Linked DNA regions of Arabidopsis thaliana. Each later gene encodes a partner of the first gene's protein in a complex. Each region holds a gene or a part of one and is shown on either strand. Other genes may lie near its edges. The genes, in order: ACA8 and CAM7.

Region 1 (4,838 bases):
TTGCTTTCCAAAAACTTGAAAAATATAAAACATTAAGAAACAATCAATTTTAGAATTGATTTTCAAGTCTTCTTGACCTCACTTGATAATAAAAAGACTTCGGCAATTAAGACTTATGCTTCCCAAAATTGCATGACGGAGCCTCAATTGAGGTGAATTGAAACAGTCTAAAAGAGCAAGGACCGGTTTAATTTTAAAAGAAACCTAGCTGTCTTAATTTAATTTATTTTTGTAGCATTTTCTCGCCTGTCTAATCCACTTTTTTATTCGACATATTTGTTATATATACCGTACATCTGGACTATACGTATATCTATCACACACCCATATTATTATAGTTTGTAAATTTAATAATAATATCTGACGATTATTCTAATAATTGAGATATTCCGTCACAAATCTTAATTTATTTTGTTACACTTTACAGGTGTTCATACTTAGTGGTGTCGAAAAGCTTTACAGGGACTCATCTACGCGTAATTTAAAAAAGGAGACCCCATTATGATCTTTTCTATATAATTACAACAACCTCTTTAAGTAAAGTAAATTTTATTTTTAGTTGAATTATATTCTTTGTGAATCGTTTATTCGCTTTGCATACGTGGAAATGAACATGATATTGAGTAGGAATCGCTTCTTATTAACGTCTCCCAAATACAAACAATTTTTTCATCATTCAACACGACGTTTTTTGAACGTTCCGTTTCACTTTCCATGTTTCCGCGTTTTTTTGAAACGCAATTTACCTTTTATCGATTCGGCAATTTTTAGTGGATAGAGTTATAAAACAATTAATCAGAATGGTGACTATAAACGAATTATTCGTAATGTTTGTTGTATACTATTGAAGTAGTCGGTGCATAAAGACAAAACGTGCGTTGGTGTTAGTTAATTACTTCTACCAAGGCTCTATTAACAGTATACGATAATGAAAAGTTGAAAACATACTAACTAACATGTATTCACAAGTAAACAATGCCATACTCTAGTAGTCCAAAGTTCAAAATACTCTTTACAGTGTGTAAAAATTCAATATGTGGGCTCGAACTCTGAAATAGTCGAAGATAATTTTGTGGGTTAAGACACCAGAATATGCAATTTTTTTACTTATGTTTTTTTTGTCTATTTGTTAGTAAATGCAAATTTCCAAAATAATTGTAAAAGAAGAGACCATACAAGTAACATGCGAAATAACGTAATAATACATAATACATAATACTTAATGTGACTCCACCACTGTACACGTAAGCCAAACTTTTATTCAATGTTATGATATATTTCAATTTTCATTTTTTTAATATAATTTTTACTTAATTATTAGATGATATGACACATATATTTATAAAATTTCAGTTCCTTAAATGTTATTAAATAATTTAAATAGTACCATGATTTAAATTGGTAAAAAATATGAAGGAAAGCTTTTGCTAACCTTCTTTACTTCTGTTTTTTTTTCTTTTTCTTTTGGTTAGATAGATTCCATTTAACTTAAAATAATAATCCACAGTTTTTTTTTTTTTTTTTTAACACAATAATCCACAGATTTTTTTAATGAGAATAAAACTAAAAAGGAAATTTGATGCCACCAGCATTTAATTAGCGCGTGCCACGTAGTTTAGTTTCCAAACAATTAAAAATTTACCCATAACCGGCCCAAGAACTTTTATTTACTTACCTATTAACCCTAGATCTATATATTTGCTCACTACTGTTTTATCCCAAACTTTAGAGAGATAAAGCATTCTATTAGTTTCCCGGCGAGGACTAGTCACATTTTCCGGCGAACTTACCGGAATTTTCTCTCCAGGTAGAACTTGTTTCTCGTCTCGATTTTCTCTTCAACCGACTACGAAACGAGTTTCGGATTTCGAGAAAAGCTTACGAATAAAAATTTTAATTACTGTTTTGTTTAAATTAAAATTTCGCAGTGTTGGTCGCTTTGTCTCCTGTTGTTCTTATTCTTCGTCTTCTTTAGTCTTACCTAATTTGAATTTTTGTTGACTACTACTGGAGTAAACCGTTTCACAGCGTTTTTCTCGTGGTAGGAGTGACTTCGCGTTCATCGATTTTTTTTTTTTTTTTTCCGATTTTACATGATATTGTTGTGATTTAAGGCTAATGTCAAGGATTTTTGAAGAAATCTGAGAAAATATCTGTGGCTGTTTTGTCGCACTCTGGATTTTTCCCAGAGAGAAGAAGATACTTTGTTTCGAAGAAGATATTTATCTTTTTTTTTTTTCTTACTTTTTTTTTATCCCGGAGAAATTGCTTTTTTCTTGCTTGATATTTCACGTGGTTGTCGAAAGCAGAAGCAACCTTTAAACTGCAAACTTACTTATCTTTTGATTTTTTCTCAGTGGTTTTGAGATTTAGGGATTTGAGTGGTTTTCTTCTTGTCTCTTGCGACTGCAACGATGACGAGTCTCTTGAAGTCATCGCCTGGACGACGCCGTGGAGGCGATGTGGAGTCTGGGAAGAGTGAACACGCAGACTCTGATAGCGACACTTTCTACATCCCATCGAAGAATGCTTCTATTGAGCGGCTTCAACAGTGGAGAGTAAGACCTAGATCCTTCTTAAGTCTGATGTTGTTTCATATTGTGAGATAAGAATGCTTGTTTATCTGTGTTTGAGCTAACAGTGAATTGTGTTTATTACAGAAAGCTGCACTGGTTCTCAATGCGTCCCGGAGATTCCGGTACACCTTGGACTTGAAGAAGGAGCAAGAAACGAGGGAAATGAGACAGAAGATCAGAAGTCATGCTCATGCTCTTTTGGTAACTTTATTTGGAAGCTGGTTAATCATGTCTTTATCATGAGATTGTGTAAATTACTGATTAGCGTCTTCTATTTCTTTATTAGGCGGCGAATCGTTTTATGGATATGGGACGTGAGTCAGGTAATTTTGGCTAACTGTGTACTTTGGTGTTGTGCATTATCTGGTTCTGAATGTGGAGAAGAAAGTCTTTTTGTATAAACTTGTTGATGTGGTCTTTTTTTTTTCTCACTTCAGGAGTTGAAAAAACAACTGGGCCTGCAACTCCGGCTGGTGATTTTGGAATTACTCCTGAACAGCTTGTGATAATGTCAAAGGATCACAACAGTGGTGCCCTGGAGCAATATGGAGGGGTAAGTTTTCAGTCATGAAACATGCTTATGTCTGTTTTCTTATAGTCGTTCTCTAATTATCTTATTGGTATGCGTGTATTTCTTGCATCAGACTCAAGGATTGGCCAATTTGCTCAAGACAAATCCAGAGAAAGGTATCAGTGGCGATGATGATGACTTGCTAAAGCGCAAGACCATTTATGGATCAAACACATATCCTCGCAAGAAAGGGAAAGGGTTTCTGGTATGAAATGCATATTTATTATTAGCTCTATGCTACAAGTTAGGTTTTCCCTGCTCACTTTCTTATCAAGCGTATTGGTTTTTTGTTAATCATTACAGAGGTTTCTTTGGGATGCTTGCCATGATCTCACCTTGATCATTTTAATGGTTGCTGCTGTAGCGTCTTTAGCACTTGGGATAAAAACAGAGGTTTGTGATGAAATCAATTAACTAAATTTGGCTCTTCCCTCTTTCCCCAGAGTAATGTCACCTCCAAATTAACCTTGGTCTTACACAATCTTTACTAACTTGGATAACAATCATCGACAGGGTATCAAAGAAGGATGGTATGATGGAGGAAGCATTGCATTTGCTGTGATTCTTGTGATTGTTGTGACGGGTAATTTAACTTGTTTCACTTTTTTCTTTTTCTTTTTAGGTGTCTACAGACTTGTTTCACTTAATATAATAATTTTGATAATGACTCTTACTGTGATTTTGATGCTTTCTTCTCCTCTGCAGCTGTCAGTGACTACAAACAGTCGCTCCAGTTTCAAAACTTGAATGATGAAAAGAGAAACATACATCTGGAGGTATAAATTTTCCCCAATGATACTTTTCCTCATACTCTCTTTTTCTTATTTCCTTCTTAGTTACACTACTCTTTCTGTTGACTGCTGCACAGGTGTTAAGAGGTGGAAGACGAGTGGAGATTTCGATCTATGACATAGTGGTGGGTGATGTCATTCCTCTCAACATTGGCAATCAGGTGAGTGGTTTATTCTCCTTTTAATTTTGTTTTTGTCCATATTACCTTGTCTAATCGAAGTTTAAATTTATATCTAGGTTCCTGCTGATGGAGTACTGATATCTGGCCACTCTCTCGCCCTTGATGAATCTAGCATGACTGGAGAGAGCAAAATTGTGTGTTTTTGTTTCCTGTCATAGTAAAATTGTTGATTTTCTCGCTTCTTCTTGGTATAACTTTCTATGTGTCAATTTCCCTTTCCTTGTCAGGTTAACAAAGACGCTAACAAGGACCCATTCTTAATGTCTGGCTGTAAAGTGGCAGATGGAAATGGTTCTATGCTGGTAGGACGACTTCCTAGTTTTTCTTGTTCAGCAGAACTGATCTCTTGGGAGATAGTTATTAATCTCTTCCATTTGTGTGATATGTATGTTCTTTTCTTTCTGCAAGGTTACTGGTGTTGGAGTCAACACTGAATGGGGATTGCTGATGGCCAGTATTTCTGAAGACAATGGTGAAGAAACTCCCTTGCAGGTTGATATCTTTGATCATTGTTAAGGAATCTTTAAATGTTTACAAATCAAGCTAATCTTTGACTTGCTTGAACCAGGTGCGCTTAAATGGGGTAGCTACTTTTATTGGTTCAATTGGCTTAGCGGTGGCTGCTGCTGTGCTAGTGATTCTTCTGACTCGGTATGAATGCTATCTTTGCTGGTTATTATTTTGGAACTCGGCCAAATCATGTTCATGACAGAAGAAC
Region 2 (6,270 bases), on another chromosome or scaffold:
GATTTTTATTTATCCAGCGTTATAAATTATCCACCCATTAAGAAAGAACAAATTGATTCACATGAAATCGTTAGACAATAATAAGGATAGATCAAAGCCATCCTTCGACTAAAAAACCCTTTATACCTTCAACATACCTATAACGAAGGGAAGTCAATCATAACAAAAAGAACAGAATGATCCATACCAAAAAGAAGCTCTATGATATAATACTAAGAAAAAGCAAACACCTTAACCTCAACGCAATAATCTACCATCAAAACAATAACGGGAACAAACAATAGATCAAAGCTATATATCCGGCAAGTCAAAATTCCTCTGCATTTCTCGCATTTCACACATACCTATTCAAAAAGAGCTACCATCACAAACATAAAAAAAAGTCAGAGAAGCCTCCAACAATAAGAAGTCAGAATACAAAGGGAAACATATAACTGCACTGTTTATTAACAATTGTCTTGTGAATTCGTGTTATACCGTTACTTAATAACAATTATAAACTATAAAATATAATTTTTCTTTAAATAGATACAAGTTGTAAACCTTAATATATACTAACGTTAAAATCGCCTAGACCAACGTTTGGACATCAATATAGAATATCAGGTTACATCAATGTATCAAATTCAATATGAAATATCAAGATACCATAACAATAATACAGAAATATCAAATTCAATATGAAAATCTGATTTTTGCTTTACTATTAGCAGAAAATTCATGATCTGGACATAAGTAGTTAGTAGATTAGCCTAAGTTAGTAAAAATTAAGTTACAAACCTAAAAAACAAATTTGTCACAAAACTAGAATTTTTTTATTTTTTGGAATACGGGTTAAATCTTTAATTTATTATTTTTAGCACCACTTATCAAATCAGTCTGATTAGAAAAGATTATATAAAATCAAAAAATATTTTGTGGTATAGTGCTACTTAATAATAATTGTAAACTATAAAAATAATTGATGACAATTATATAAATTTTTTAAAAATCGTAAAATCAACGCAATTGGCGGGAAATTTTTCTACAAAAATTTTCTACTAAATTACGGAAAAACCGTAAAATCATTCTCAATCGTCTACTAATATTTATTGTCTAACCATTTTCTTTCTTGTGTTATAATTTTGAAATGTGATAAAATAAAGAGAATTTATAATAAATGATTATAGATTTGAAAAGAATGTACAAACTAACCTTGAGTCACAGTAGCTTGTCGGAAACATATTGGAGAACACATGTAATTACATAAATATCCTTTGTAACATGTTTTTTTTCCGAAATACATGCGATAACATAATATCTCTTTTTATCTTGTTATTTTCTCTTATTACATAGTATTTATAAAAAGCACATGGTATTTTATGGAAAAAACATTCTATTCAGTTTAATATCTCTTTTTATCATGATATTTTGTAGTAATACACATTTTTTATTAAGATCACACGTGATTTCTTTAAAAATATATTCTTATTTTTTAGTAATACACGGTTTTATTAAAATCACATATAAATTTTTTTTAAGGATTATGTTCATGTAAGAAAATTTCATAATAATGTTTTTTCTTAAAAATTCATGACGTTTTTTTAAATAGCATGTTTTAAAACTAAATATAACATGTGAAATTTTAATGTTACATGTTATTTTGAAAAATTACACGAATGTGTTTCGTTTACAGTTCATCTTACAACAAATGAAAGGTAGCTTTGTTATTTCATTTCTTCCGACAACATGGGTCCATGGTTATTTTGTAACAAAAAACTTTCTCTCTACTAGTTTCTTAATTTGTATGTTTTATTTGGTTATCTAATATTACCCTAAAATAAACTTAGCAAATAGAAAATGAATTTTATCAAATTGCCTACACCAATGTTTGGATATCAATGTATAATATCAGGTTACATCAATATATATCATACCAAGATACCATAACAATAATACAAAAATATCAAATTCAAAACTATTAGCAGAAAGTTCATGATCTGGACATAAGTAGTTAGTAGATTAGCCTAAAATAGTAAAAACTAAGTTGCAAACCTAAAAAACAAATTTCTCCCAAAACTAGAATTTCTTAATTTTTTGGTCTGAGAAATTAAAAGAGAAAGACGTTTAGGAGGGCAAAATCGTCAATTCAAAAATACCTCATTTTACCTGTAGCTGGTGAGATCTCATTTTATAAAGGAGAAGGAACATTCACTCTCACGCGCTTCAACTTTCTCCAGAAACAAGAAAATATCACAGCAAAAATTTTCTCGAGAAAATCCGAAGAAGACAAAAAAAATGGCGGATCAGCTAACCGATGACCAGATCTCCGAGTTCAAGGAAGCTTTTAGCCTATTCGACAAAGACGGAGATGGTCTCTTCTTCTTCTTCTTCTTCTTCTTCTTCTCTCAGATCTCTTTCTCTTGTCGTTTTTTTTTTAGATTTCTTCGCGGTGATCGTGAATCTCTGCACATTTCGTTTATTGTTTCATGTGATTTGAAGAACGATCTCGTTTTGATTCGTTCAGTCTTGCTCACATCTCCAGAGTGTTTAGGGTTGATTTTTGCTTCTATAGAAGGATCTAGAATATGTAGAATCTCCTTTAGTATATTCGTTGATGATTACTAAGATTTGTAGTTATGGAATCTTGTTTAATTAGGTTATTCATCATATTCTAGATCCTACATTGGAATCGTACATTGGAATCTAGTTGTTTCTCTGTGATTTACTATGATTCTGAACAAATCCTGTGATTATAATCATGCGGATTTGTACGTTCTCACAAAATTTAGTGGCATTGTGGTTTTAAGATTCAATTGTAACATGTAGATTTATCTGCAGATGTTTATACTCAAAATCTAAAAAACGAAATTTGGTTTATTGTGTGATGTTGCCAAATAGAAAAATAGAGAAAGAAGTTGATAATATCATCTCTGTTGTTCTTCTTTACAATAGTTGAGAACTTGCAACGGTGTGCATTTTGTGATGCTTATTGGCAATACCATCATATTTAGAACATTGTGCATTTCCTGGCCTTTGATTAGAAAGAGGCTTTAAATGTTGCTTGGTGGTTTGTGTGCAAAAAGTTTCTTTGTTAACTTGGTAGATGTTTCCCGAACAATCAGTTTTACTTGTCGTATACTATGATTGGGGTTTAAGAGTATTTTACTAAGAGCATTTTTGAGCTTTCTTGTGAGAATAGGTGCATTTCCTGGCCTTTGATTACTAAGAGAATAACATCATATTTAGAACATTGTGCATTTCCTGGCCTTTGATTACTAAGAGAATACCATCATATTTAGAACATTGTGCATTTCCTGGCCTTTGATTAGAAAGAGGCTTTAAATGTTGCTTGGTGGTTTGTGTGCAAGAAGTTTCTTTGTTAACTTGGTAGATGATTTCCGAACAATCAGTTTTACTTGTCGAATCGTCGTCCTTTTAAATGAGATATACTATGATTGGGGTTAGTAGTGTAAGGATATTTTACTAAGAGCATTTTTGAGCTTTCTTGCATTTGAAAACTTGACATATTACTTGTGTTTAAGATAATTGGTTTATATATCTTCCTGATCTTGTTGACAATATTAGTGTTCATAAAGTTATACTCGGAACTCTTGCGTTACAAAATCTGAAGTTGTGTCCAATTTTGGTTTGATTGCAGGTTGTATCACCACAAAGGAGCTTGGGACTGTGATGAGATCACTTGGGCAGAACCCGACAGAAGCCGAGCTCCAGGACATGATCAACGAAGTGGATGCAGACGGGAACGGGACAATAGATTTCCCAGAGTTCCTGAACCTAATGGCACGTAAGATGAAAGACACTGATTCAGAGGAAGAGCTTAAGGAAGCCTTCAGGGTTTTTGACAAGGACCAGAACGGTTTCATCTCGGCGGCTGAGCTTCGTCACGTGATGACAAATCTTGGGGAGAAGTTGACGGATGAGGAAGTCGATGAGATGATCCGAGAGGCTGACGTCGATGGTGATGGTCAGATCAACTATGAAGAGTTCGTCAAAGTCATGATGGCAAAGTGAGATTCTTCTTATCCCTCGAAATCCTAAGCATGTTTTTCTTTTACATCTTTAAAACTGAGAAAAGTAATTTATTGAACCAAAAGAAACAGAGAGATTTGCTTCCTTGTTTGTTTTGTTGATCGTGATTTTTTGGTAACGTTGCTTCTTCTTTGCCTTTTGGTTTTGTTATTGTCCGTGACGTTTGAACTCATAATTTGCTTTAGTCTCTCGAGTCATGACCACTTGATGATGTTATTTTCTCTTTTCTCTAAAATATTGCAGTTTATTGAGATCGACTAATTATATCCATTACGTGGAGAAATAATTGCTTACTAGTTGCAAAAACGTGCACTGTAATTGTTTAAAATTTAGTGTCTTTGCAAGAACAAAGTAGTAGTAAAAGTTCTTGGGATCAAACATTTTCTATTTCAAATACCCACTTAAGGCCCAATGGTATGGTTGATAAGGCTGTTAAGGTTGTGAGGGTTTATTAGCTGATGAAGGCCTATCTTGTGAGTAATAGTACTGTCAAACTACTCCATCTTGTGTGGTTCTCCCCTAGATTATATTTGAAAAAAAACTAATTTATCTACGTATAGACATTTTTCTTACTATAACATTAGCTCTAATTTGAATTTGATATTTGGATTTATAATACACATAAACGTATATAATAGTTTGTTCTATATGTTTTTTATTTAATTTTATTTTATATGTTTATTTAATTATAGATATAAATTTTCCTCAATTGTTTAATTTTTTTCTATATTAAAATTGAATTATATTTTATTTTATGCAAAATCAACTTTTAGTATTTACAAGTTAGTCATTAAAGTTATATTTATAACAATTATTATAATTTCCACTATACTAGTCATAGACTCATAGTTCTAGTATTAGTATCAACTATATACTAATAGAACCATAAATTTGTTTGTTTTTTGTTTTTTTAATAAATCTTATCGACTGATCCGGTCGGCCCGTATAAACTATAAGTTTGTTTTTATAGAGTTTTTCTAATTTAGTTATTGTCAATTTAACATTCAAGCTCATTAAGTTTTCTTTAGTAATATGTAAGACTCTTTTTATGCAATTCAGTTCATATATCTCTCTTCTCTTTTTTTTTTTTTTGTGACGAACTAAGAAACAAAAAAGAATTGACATTTTACAGTTAATTCTATTATCTTCTTCATTTCTAAACCCCAAAGAAAGAAGGAACCAACTACTCGGTTTTTATTGTTTCTTGTTCTCAGTCATGTTTGGGAATGCGCAAGTAAATTGATAAAGAAAAGGAAGAAGAAGAAGAAGAAAAAGAAAAAGAAGAAGACCAAAAATGCTAAAAGGAATGAGAAAGAATTGATCCAGCATAACCCCTCACAGCCCGAGTCACATCGCGTTCCTAGCCGTTTGAATCTCCTCTGCCACCGCTCTCATTCTTGCTCGATTCTATAGCTCACTGTACTTGCTGATCAAGAACTAACTTAAAACAATGAAGACGAAGAATAGTGAAAGCTAATAGTAGATAACTTGCATATATCGAGGGATTGTTTAAAAAACATAATAATAACCTTGTATATAGGCTACGTAATGGCATAAAGAAAAGATTGGTTGGTGGATTACCATGCGAGCCGCTGGTAGAGGACTAACAATTATGTACTTGGATTCAAACCATTTAGTTTAGTCCTAAGAAAAAAAATTAAGTTACCAAGTTTATCTCTAGGAATTTAGAATTTTAACAGTTTTATAGATTTATATTCATCTTGTAAACGATAAACGATAAACAAAACCAGTAGTGTCTCCAACCGCCGAAATGTTAACAATTAAACGATAAACATAGATTTTTTTTTCTATGATCAATTTTAGAAAAATAAAATTTACAAACAAGTATTTTAATTATTAAACTTTGAGAGAATGAAATGTAATAAAGAAAAGAAAAAAAAATTAGAAAATTTTTTTTGACCCACGTCTCCCTCTCAAATGCTCTCTTTCTCTTTATTTAAATCTGTTACACCTCTCTTTCTCTCTCACCAAACAAAAACTTTTTCGAATATTTTAGTAATTATAAATAGTAATTGTACTACTTCTCCAATTAAGTTACGGAAATGTACTGTTTTCTAAACAAACTCAAAGAAAAAGGTTAAAAAAATTAAAGAAACAAAAACTATAACACACTAAACAGTCTTGTAACAACTGAGAGATAAAAGTAGAAAAACAAATGAGTTAAAATCTATCAAAATGTTTAACCATATATAATGTCATGATAATATCTCGTAAGTC

What was found.
Region 2: the proteins of ACA8 (region 1) and CAM7 are in contact, whole or in part, in a crystal structure (PDB 4AQR), measured with the Arabidopsis thaliana proteins. Residues at the interface, in NP_001331281.1 of Arabidopsis thaliana: Ser40, Arg43, Leu44, Gln45, Gln46, Trp47, Arg48, Lys49, Ala50, Ala51, Leu52, Val53, Leu54, Asn55, Ala56, Ser57, Arg58, Arg59, Phe60, Arg61, Tyr62, Thr63, Leu64, Lys67; in NP_189967.1 of Arabidopsis thaliana: Glu12, Phe13, Glu15, Ala16, Leu19, Phe20, Leu33, Val36, Met37, Leu40, Gln42, Glu48, Asp51, Met52, Glu55, Val56, Ile64, Phe69, Leu72, Met73, Ala74, Arg75, Met77, Lys78, Asp79, Thr80, Glu85, Glu88, Ala89, Val92.

What each region holds. Positions count from the first base shown.
Region 1 is NC_003076.8:23,114,434-23,119,271, reverse strand, and holds the start of ACA8 (autoinhibited Ca2+ -ATPase), read left to right. Parts: upstream 1-1,585; 5' UTR 1,586-1,807; intron 1,808-1,868; exon of another isoform or gene 1,869-2,041; intron 2,042-2,357; 5' UTR 2,358-2,414; coding exon 2,415-2,558; intron 2,559-2,660; coding exon 2,661-2,777; intron 2,778-2,862; coding exon 2,863-2,899; intron 2,900-3,013; coding exon 3,014-3,129; intron 3,130-3,220; coding exon 3,221-3,352; intron 3,353-3,450; coding exon 3,451-3,540; intron 3,541-3,660; coding exon 3,661-3,730; intron 3,731-3,852; coding exon 3,853-3,923; intron 3,924-4,015; coding exon 4,016-4,099; intron 4,100-4,176; coding exon 4,177-4,254; intron 4,255-4,347; coding exon 4,348-4,422; intron 4,423-4,528; coding exon 4,529-4,612; intron 4,613-4,688; coding exon 4,689-4,771; intron 4,772-4,838. UniProt on the Arabidopsis thaliana protein: This magnesium-dependent enzyme catalyzes the hydrolysis of ATP coupled with the translocation of calcium from the cytosol out of the cell.
Region 2 is NC_003074.8:15,662,363-15,668,632, reverse strand, and holds CAM7 (calmodulin 7), read left to right. Parts: upstream 1-2,163; 5' UTR 2,164-2,277; coding exon 2,278-2,353; exon of another isoform or gene 2,354-2,999; intron 3,000-3,152; exon of another isoform or gene 3,153-3,640; coding exon 3,641-4,010; coding exon of another isoform or gene 4,011-4,014; exon of another isoform or gene 4,015-4,501; intron 4,502-5,246; coding exon 5,247-5,445; 3' UTR 5,446-5,633; downstream 5,634-6,270. UniProt on the Arabidopsis thaliana protein: Calmodulin mediates the control of a large number of enzymes, ion channels and other proteins by Ca(2+). Among the enzymes to be stimulated by the calmodulin-Ca(2+) complex are a number of protein kinases and phosphatases. Activates MPK8 in vitro.